Neodiprion lecontei: one gene and its partner. The protein of the gene in region 2 interacts with the protein of the main gene of each other region in a pairwise test. Links are inferred from orthologs where the notes say so. Each region holds a gene or a part of one and is shown on either strand. Other genes may lie near its edges. The genes, in order: epidermal growth factor receptor substrate 15-like 1 and rho GTPase-activating protein Graf.

Region 1 (5,199 bases), on a different chromosome or scaffold from region 2:
GCAAGGAATATGAATACCGATGCTCCAGTTGTTTGGCAAATTGGAAATAAAGTGGTGAATCCGAAGCTGATAGCCGAACAATCTAGAGGCAGAATTTACGTAAATATGAAGAATCAATTGGTAATAATAGAACTGCTATTTATAGATGCAAATATCTACAGGTAAGAGACAAACTGGGTGATAGAAAAAAAAAAGAAGAAATTCTAATTACAAATATAGTTTAAAGCTGGTGAATACTTTCCAGTTGTTGGCAGAACGAAGAATTAGCTGGTACAATACGATTGGAAGTGACAGATGAAATTGAAGGAATAAAATTTAATCATCACGTATTTATGTTTGGGGCAATTATAATAATTACCGTACTTCTTTACGTATTCTGGAAGGCCTTCAAAGGCCGGAAACGTATTACCAAGCATTAATTTGTTTGGTGAGCTGTTGATGGGTTGAATTATAAATAAAAGAGCACGAATGCTAGTTTTTTCAGCAACTGATTCAAGTAGGTAATTACTCATTGGTTATTCAATACTCACCACAACGTTTTCTGTGAGTTTTCTTAAAGACGGTGGTATCATTTCAGGTGTTAGAGTAGCGGGAGGCTCTTTGCCTCTTAGTTGCTGCTTAATAAGCCACATCGACAGAGCGAATTGTTCCTTATTCAGTTTACCACTTTGACAAATATCGCACAAACCCCTGTTGTGTACAAAATAAATCATTTATCAATGGTTCATCATCGACTGAATGAAGGAACCAAAGCTTAAGGAAAGTATGTTATTTGATTTTTTTCAAGAAGACATAGACTAGTTTACAGGCAAAAAATAATGGCTTAGAACACATTTTTTGAGACAGGTAACGGAATACTTGTAACAAAGATATACCAAATTTGAGCTAAAACAGTCTGTGGTAAGCCGCTCTGTAGAAATACATCTTTGATCTCAGACCCAGATACGTATCCATCCATATCCATGTCTGCTTGCGCAAAGAGCTTGTCCGCAGCTGCCTGATCTTCGGCTGAGATGACCCAGTGTTGAACAGCTGGTGGCTAAAATAATGAATAAGGTGAATCTTATCGTCGAATTATTGTTAAGAAATTAGCAGATCACTCAATCGCGACTCAGGCTAAGTTTTCTATCAAAGTTCCTTCTCTGCTGCATGTTTTGACAAGAAAAAATTGATTACCTTTGTAGATTCTAAACCGACAAGACTGCTGGGAGCAGGTGCAGTAGGTAAAGGAGGAATAGGCGGTGGTCCGCTAACCATTGGGGGTACTGGGGATTTAGCAACTGACATGATGACTTCTTTTCTTTTGCCTGGTGGCATTAATTCTGGAGGTAGCACATTGGGAATAGCATATTTCTCAAGTGCCTTGTAGACCAAATGCATAGCCTGAAGAATACAGATCAAAAAGACAATAATAGTAATAATAGTATGATTACACAAATTAATTATTCGCACTTGACAAGCGACAGGACTTACAATGACAAATTCATGCCTGTCGAGCATTCCATCTTTGTCCATGTCGGCAAGATCCCATATTTTTCCTAGAGTATCAAGAGGCAGTTTGCTATCCATAAGAACACCTTTCACTTTATTTCCTGGAATGTATCCATTAGCTGGTTGTAAGCTGTCAAATAACTGATCATATTTTGTTCGTTCACTTGGTTTTATCGACCAGTCCCCGTTATTCATCGATGTTATTATCCCTGGAGATATAGGCTTTGGTTTTTGGGGTATCACTGGAATTTCACCCTGTAAAACGTTAATTATGTCTCTCTAAAAGTTTCGTCAAACATAGCATACGCATTACCATCAATGATATCAAAAGTTTGTCAAAATCAGTTTGATGTATTCAAATGACTGAGTTGGCCAGAGACCATTGTAAAATATCTTTGAAAAAAAGGAATCTGTAATCTCTGTTCTCTTTCAGATATGAAGTAGACACGCTTGAAGAGGTTTTGAATGTTAAACTGATAAGATAACGAAGCAAATAGTGTTAAACAGCTGTACTCTGCAGTCAACGACAATTGTACTTGAGTGCTTTTTAGTTGTTAATTTCGTTGAAAAAATATTTCCCACTCAATATCCAAATACAAGACAATAACTGATATGTTTGAAAGCTAGTGTTTTTATATTAGATAGAATGACCAGAGTTACTAATAATGATTAAAACCTACCATTTTGGGTGGAGGTGTTTCAATATTGAGGTTTGCCATACTCAAGTCACTTCCTGCCTGAGCGAGGGCGCAAAGTTTTAGCGCGACGAAAAGTCCGGATTTATCCAATGATCCACGCGACTGTGGATCCGCCATATCCCAAATTTTACTAAGCACAACATCGCTCAGCTGTGATTTTTTCAAAAATCGTGCAGCTTCCATCGCTCCGATACGGCCATACCCGTTAGGGTCCACCTTTAGATAAATTGACGTATAGTCGTTTTTCATCACGCTTTACATTACAATTAATAATTTGTATTATATACAGAGGTAAAAGTGTAATTTACCTGATGATAATAGGCCTCATATATGGCGCTGTGGCTTCCAGCCACCTGAAACAATGTTTTTATTGTTTTAGTATTCCACTAATGTAATCAAAAATGTAAATTGTAGTATTATAACTGCAATGTTAGATCCAAAATTAATCGTATATTTATCAACAGGAAGCGAAATAAGATAGTTGGCATTAGGCTAGATAACGTTTAAATGACAGCAATCATTCCTTTTCACATTTCAATTATCTATAGTCTGAAGGAGGTGAACAAAATGTATCTCCGTATAAATGAAGTTACTCGAAAATGCAATAACAAAGGATTTACTCTTTATTCATATTTTTTATTATCTCTTCTTTTAACAACTGTCAAAACGGTTTTCTATCATCAAAGTGAGGAGACGATTCTGAAAAGGGGTGTGCATTGGTAAACGTTCGCCATTTTCATGCGATTCGATTAATGGAAGTAATGTTATCAATGCTAAACAGTACTTGCTGGACGATCAATTTAACTAAATAACGAGGCCCACAGATCCACGATGAAAAAATCACTCGTGTTAAATAAACAAACGAAAATCGGAGATAGCATCGATGCTGTCACGGGTGGCGAGATGCTTAGGTTGACCAAAAAATCGCCTCTTACAGCGACGAGGAGGCGTTTATTGATAGAATTTCATTTATCTTACGAAACAATATCCGCATTACCATTATATCTCACGTAGGGTATTCTCAACAGGAATTAATCAGGGGAAATAATGTAAAAAATATTACATACCTGCGTAGGTGACGGCAAGGCGGCCATACTTGCATCGAATACTAACGCGATTTTCATTGGCCGCGGTCCGAAGGCCCAAGAACCAATAAGGCCCTCAATCAATAGTACGTCATTTTAACGATTTTCACAAATTTAATAACTCTTATTTATACGATCAATTATCACGATAAAACTGACCCTTTATTATGCCCTATTATACAAACGACAGACAAATACTTTCGTCAATTTTCTTACGTTATTACGTAAAGAATTTCTGTATTGCCTACATTGCCATGCAGTACACACGCGTTTGAGTCTAGTGTCAGATTCAAATATACTTTTATGACGCCTTTATGCATCGAAGAAAATTTTTAATCTTCTCTATTTGAATTGTTAAGTAACAAAAAAATATAAAAAACTTGACAGATTATTTTATACCAGTTAAAGTAATCCTCCCCCTTTCGAGACTTGTCTTTTAAATTATCTTCACGATTGCGAAAAAATATGCTTAAGCTCGAAGTCAGTTACATAATTTGAATTTTCGAACGTGTACTCTTCACGAATATATATTGATAGTATTCTAAAATTCGTATTATCATACCATTAGCTTTTATTTCATTGGCAAATGGTCTGACGCATCTTCTGACGTTGGACAAGAGAGAAACAATAGAAATGCGTACTTGTATAACAAGAATATTTAATTCATACCTACAATTACGGGTTTCGTATAAAAGGTATGTATACACAACAGCGGTTTCCTTAACGATATTAATTATAGTATCGTAATCCACTTCAAAATTCACAGAATTTGATTATCGTATTTTTATTCAATTTGAATTCAACGATGACAGTTGCGGGAACGGATTTTGTTTTGAAATGACCAATTTTTTGTGCTGATGAGAAATGTAACCCCTGATTTTACCCTCGTAAATTAAATTGGCTACAAGGCATTCCGTTTCGTCCATATCTACATCGTCAACACCGTGCATTTCAAGAGCAGCCAAAAGACTGGCTACGGGTATTTGATGGGTATTTAAAACGAGATAAACCTTTTTGAACAAATTTCTATACGTAATGAGCTTCAGCTTTTCAACTATTAAGTAAATCCCAGCACTAATAAAGAAGATCTCATGTTTGTTCATCACTTCCTCCAAGCTGCGTAGGTTTCCTCGTTTAACAGCTTCGACCAACTCCCAAAATTCCAATAGATTGTACTTTTCTAACAATGATTTTTTTGGCATATAGCCCAGCAGCATTTTGACGGGAACTAAATACGTCAGAATTAAACGTTTGTTCTTTGCTGATTCTTTGTGGCAACGGACAAAAGCGTAGGTCAGATATTCGTCCGCTGTAACACAATTTAATAACAGGCATTAAATAAATCCACTCTTTAATTTCATTCTAAAAACATCGTTACCAGTTAGATAAAATTAACATCATCTGTATTATACATTTTCAACATTTTTTGATTTAGAAAAGCATAAGTGAAACATTTTTTAATGCTGAGTAATTTAAAAAAAATGAACAATAAGCTACATTTCCAGTTTAAAAGTGACTGTCAGTGGAAAGGCCTGCAACTGACTATTGACGCTTACCAGCTGTGTAATCACTATCGAAAATGGCTTTGCGTCCCATAAAAAATTTATACGTAATTTTTTGCGCGAGCGCGAACTGATCCTTAAGACCGGACGATTCAATGATCCTGATTAGAGGTTTGCATAAATCGAGTTTGTTTATGCGAAAATAGACCTTCCACAGTTGGTTAACCAATGCGAGCATTCCCCATCTTTTCGTGTCATCTTCAGAGTTCCTGTTGTCAGCTGCACAAACTCGAAAACAGCTCATTAGGCACTCAGCACATTTTTCAAGCACCTCACCGGACTTTTGATTTTTACCAAACTTGGATGCTTCAGCTTTAAGGGCTAGACGCCTGAGATCTAAGCACATGGAATTCATTACTGGCA
Region 2 (5,010 bases):
ATAGCTAAGAAAAAACACAAATGCAGAGTGAACAATTATTGAGACAACACTACACATTAATGGGTATGTGATTATGGTTACAATTGATCTTATTCAATGACATACAGTACAACCCCGATCAACCGGGCTGCTCAGTACCAACGAATCCATGGATAAGTGAAATCATTATATGTTTTATTTGTCGAAGATGTAAATATTAGATTGAATTACTGCCAGCTTGTTGTTCGAAAGAATTCAGTACAACCGTACCCTGTTGCTCGTACGAAGCACGAAGGCACTCGAGAGGATGACGTTTAAACCACACCCCGATTAATCGGGGTTCTACTGTACGTATAACAGGCATGTAATTACATATGCAATGATCCATGATATGCACATAAATCAATGCTCGTCAATTATTTTACATTCAAATAGACCAGCCATGTCAAAGGTACATCTATTTTTTCTTCATTTTCTTGAATTTGGAAACTGATTACTTCAATACATCAGATATTGATGTATGATATTGTTTGATATGAGGATATTGCTGACTTACTTTACCAAATCAGTTTCATTTCCAAACCATATATAATTGATAAAAGATGCTGCAGAAAGTCTTTTTTATGTATATATATCGTTATAAACTAATGTCAAAGTATTTGCCAACACTGGATGTATCTTTGTTTTTAACATTGTTGAATGAGTGTTGTAATGAAAAAAGGTTTGCAATGATTAATTAACAGTGATTCAAAAGACACGCTTAACAAATATAAACGCATTGCTGTACAAAGCTGTACAATGTTGAATAAATTATTAATACTAGCATAAGAATGAAAAAGTGGTGCCGCGCTATCTCCGTCAAAAACTCGACTACTTTGTATTTTTTATGCGCACTAGTGCTTATAAAAACTACACATTATTCTCGTTTTTGACTGGAGGTAATACAGAAAATAGGTTTTGTGGCATGTGCGTGTATAGGTATATATATTCGCACTTTGCACTCGTCAAGGAATTCCCAATTTATGCGCATTTGCAATAAAAATAACTATTAATGTAACTTGATGTACAAAGCCTTAATAAGTATCATTGGTTATACTCTATCACACCGTTTCTACAGGAATATTAGAAAACCGGCTACATTTGATGGTTAGTTAAATAATACACGATAGTTATGTAATTAGATAAGACGTATTTATGAAGAGAAATGAATTTTGCGCTGACAGCAAAGTTTATACTTCGAAATGAAAGGATGTCGCACATTTTGATAACTTTGTTATAAAAAGTATATTCCTTTGAATATAATATTGCGTATTTTAATTGTCACTGTTGTTCAAATCAAAATATATATACGTAAATAATATTACTAATTTTGGTCTATAAACTATAAACTGTGAATGAAATGAGTCAACTATAGAATAGCTATGAATATTGGGTAAATGTATATTAAAAACGTTCATGCAAAGTAATATAATACTTGCGTGTCTTAATTTGTCCACTAGGTATAAAAACAAAAGACTTGGTTAGAAAGTTAATTGATTTATAATTTGAATAACACATTAACATGTTTAGCTCATACTTTGAGTATAAGGTCAAACTTTTATTGAATTAACAATTAATAGCATTTTTCACTGGCTGTACTTGGTATACAGTGAGTGCAATTTTTGCAGTATTCAACCAATAGCAGAAGCAGAATCCTAGGAAAATCGCACAGCGTGTAGCCAGTGAAAACTTCTATAATTGTATATAAATTATACTAAATTTCATAAAATATTATTGATCAACTCAATTTAAGTAAAACATAGATCAAAATATGCAAACATTTTAGGATAAATTTTTTCAACATTAACTGGGTCATACCATGCGATCACGCTCGTCCTCAATCGATGCGATAAGTCTACCAAATTCTTTCAAACTCTGTGATATGTGTGTTTCGTCCTCGGTTTGTGTTTCGCCAATACATTCAAAACTGAAGTTCTGAAGTGTTTTCGAGAATGTTCTTTGAGCTCGTGATAAATCTGCAAATCAAGATCACGGTAATAAACCTCATTAGCTAATCATGCATCTAAAAATTAGTATTACGTAATTTATTAGCTGTGACTGAAGACTCGATTCAATTTTCTATCGCTTTAAATGAAATTGGTATAACTTCTTTAAATAAGATTTGGTAGCTAATGCCTTAGGTGATGTATCAATTTAAAAAATTCAAGAATTATCGAAGAGCTAGCAAGTTGCCTCAGTATGAGCCTGACTGAATTTTCTTTCAACAAATAAGTTTATGTTGCGTCAAGGATACAAGCTCTATTCAAATGATATTGAAAATCGTTTTTTTACTTCTGGTTAGAATCAGATAGTAATATATATATGTCAATTTATATAATTCTTGGAATAGATTACTCTTTCTTTACACAAGACTTGTTTAACATATAGCAGAAAAATTCAACCAGTTATGTTTTAAGTGGATTTTCGCCCTTTTAAGGCCCTGAAGTTTGTGGGACTGCTGCATTGTCCTAATGTTCAGACGGCAATAAGGATAGTAAAATGCAGCGATAAAATTTTTTTGTCAAACTTACTTTATGGAGTCGTAAATGTGAAAAAAACTTACTTCTGGCAGCTATAAGCAAATCCTTGACCTCCTTTATCAAGCGTTTTATCTGTTGACTGGTTTTGTCTAATTCGCGTTCATGGGAATGAAGATTATCACGAAAATAGGGACTGTCCGTCAAACAGTCGGTAAATTCCAGCGGTTCCAGACCAACACCCATTATTATTAATTATCTTTCAAAGGATCGTATAATCATTCACAACTGAGTTAAATCAACTGCAAGCACAAATCTTGTAACGCTAAAATACGTAGGTGCGTTACCACAGAGAACGCGAAAGCTTTGCGGCACAGTTCAACTGCATTTATAATTTTCTTCGACAATTAATCCACAATCTGGAAGATGTCAATCAAGATTGCCAATGGAAGTATCAACACAGCCAATGGCTTAATTGTCCCAGTTATCACTAATCACGGAACAAAAATACGTCGTCTCCACTCCACCACGGCTCCACCGCTTTCCGTTGAAAATTATTGAAAAAAAAACTTCAGAGATGAGAGACTCAAAAGCATAATTCATGAATAGAATAACAATATAGCAAACGTCAATTTAGATTTTAATGATCAATTTTAGGAACGCGTCCTCGGGTATAATCATGAGATAACCGATGACGACAGATGTCCAAGCTTTACCACGGTTCAACAATATATACATGTGTATCCTCTTCCCCTTTGTAAAAGATGGAGCTGATTGTAAAATTGGCTGACGGCCATTGACCAATGAACGCATGGCGTAACATTGGGTGACAACCACTCACGAGATAGCTCGGAGCAAATCGGAGCGCAGGCTTGTTCGGAGTGCTGTTCGGTAAAACATAACCGTAATTTAATCACCGAATCCGGGTCAATACCATCGATACCGAAAAAATATACAATAGTTTTCGGCTTTACTTGGGTGTATTTTGATTTGCAAGTTATAAGCCAGTAAGCGATTATGCCGAAAAAAAAGACAGGTCAAAGGAAAAAGGCTGAGAAACAAAAGTTAAGACAAAAGGAAATTCGCACTGCCAAAGGTCAGATAGACCTTGCAAAATTTCCTAGCAATGCAATAATGGCAAGTATCATTGATGAGCAATACTTTGTTTTCGATCAAATAACCAAGTGACCTGTTTATTCATTTTTAACAAATATCCAAGCTAACTTCGGACCCTCTCTGTAAGTTTCGATAGTTATTAGGATTTTACTGCAGGAATGCGACAAGTGCAATAGAAAGCAGAAGAGTCGGGCATTTTGTTATTTCTGTCAGAGTGTTCAGCGTTTGCCAATATGTGCTCAATGTGGCAAAGTCAAATGCATGTTGAAGACTGGAGATTGTGTCGTTCGACATGTCGGAGTTTTTACAACTGGCCTTGGTATGGTGGTGCGTAAAATTTCAATTTTTGTCTAGAGTAATTTGACAATTTTTCCACAGTGATTTGCAGTTACATTCAAAACAAGTTTTATAATTTAGGGAGCAATATGTGACCACTGCGAGGCATGGGTATGCCATGGTAGACGATGTCTGACTTCCCATGCTTGTACTTGTCCGTTGATGGATGCAGTTTGTCAGGAGTGTGAACGAGGGGTATGGGATCACGGCGGCAGAATATTTCGATGCTCTTTCTGTGACTGCTTTCTGTGTGAAGATGATCAATTTGAGCATCAGGCATCTTGCCAAGTATTGGAGTCTGAAAGTTTCAAATGTAATTATGAAATATATTTTCACATGTTTTTATTATTCAAATATTTGGCACCACTAGTACAGTCAAGTAAAACACTGAATGACAAACCTGAAACCGAGATATTCAAGAGAATTGTTTTGAAAAAATTGCAGGTCAGTCCTGCAATAAGCTTGGACAATATTCTTGTCTGAGATGTAAAACGTGCTACTGTGAAGATCATGTTCGAAGGAAAGGTTTCAAGTACGAGAAGAACAAGCCAATTCCATGCCCCAAGTGCAGTTACGAAACCTCTCAAACAAAGGATCTTAGTATGTCAAGTAAGTTACAAAATTGGTACCATACTTCTTATATTAACAGCGATGTAACATCTATGAATCATATAATCTTCACTCTTACAGCAAGGAGCCATAAATTTGGTCGGCAAAATCAAGCAGGAACCTATGATTCTGATGAAGAAGATGGAGGATACGGATATTATGGTAAGATTTATTCAGTTTGTTTACTACGATTCAGAAAAACTTCGCACTAAATTTTTAAAAACGTTTTCTTAACAAAGATGTTCAATACTCTTGCACAGGTAATAGTACTCATAGCTATGGGGATTATGCAGATGACGCTGAAGACGCCGATGACGACGAAGATGACGAAGGTGAAAGTTCAGGTGAAGATGAAGAGGATGAGGAAGAAGAAAGTTCGTGTGATGAGGAGGAAAATACTAATCAGTCTGATTCTAAATGCGACAAGACATCTAAAATGGACAAAGGGACATCT

Evidence for each region.
Region 1: the proteins of rho GTPase-activating protein Graf (region 2) and epidermal growth factor receptor substrate 15-like 1 interact in a two-hybrid assay, tested with the Caenorhabditis elegans proteins (2 studies listed by BioGRID). The link is inferred for Neodiprion lecontei from reciprocal best matches to the Caenorhabditis elegans genes T04C9.1 and ehs-1.

Annotation. Positions count from the first base shown.
Region 1 is NC_060264.1:4,176,182-4,181,380, forward strand, and holds the start of epidermal growth factor receptor substrate 15-like 1, read right to left. Parts: upstream 3,315-5,199; 5' UTR 3,314-3,314; coding exon 3,257-3,313; intron 2,543-3,256; coding exon 2,498-2,542; intron 2,406-2,497; coding exon 2,172-2,405; intron 1,747-2,171; coding exon 1,474-1,746; intron 1,384-1,473; coding exon 1,177-1,383; intron 1,040-1,176; coding exon 876-1,039; intron 691-875; coding exon 531-690; intron 1-530. Other genes in the region: PCI domain-containing protein 2, read right to left, coding at 4,063-4,583, 4,831-5,199.
Region 2 is NC_060265.1:2,731,995-2,737,004, reverse strand, and holds the start of rho GTPase-activating protein Graf, read right to left. Parts: upstream 3,269-5,010; 5' UTR 2,742-3,268; coding exon 2,582-2,741; intron 1,995-2,581; coding exon 1,837-1,994; intron 1,470-1,836; exon of another isoform or gene 1,458-1,469; intron 1-1,457. Other genes in the region: zinc finger protein 330 homolog, read left to right, coding at 3,513-3,632, 3,768-3,938, 4,029-4,260, 4,392-4,556, 4,638-4,718, 4,817-5,010.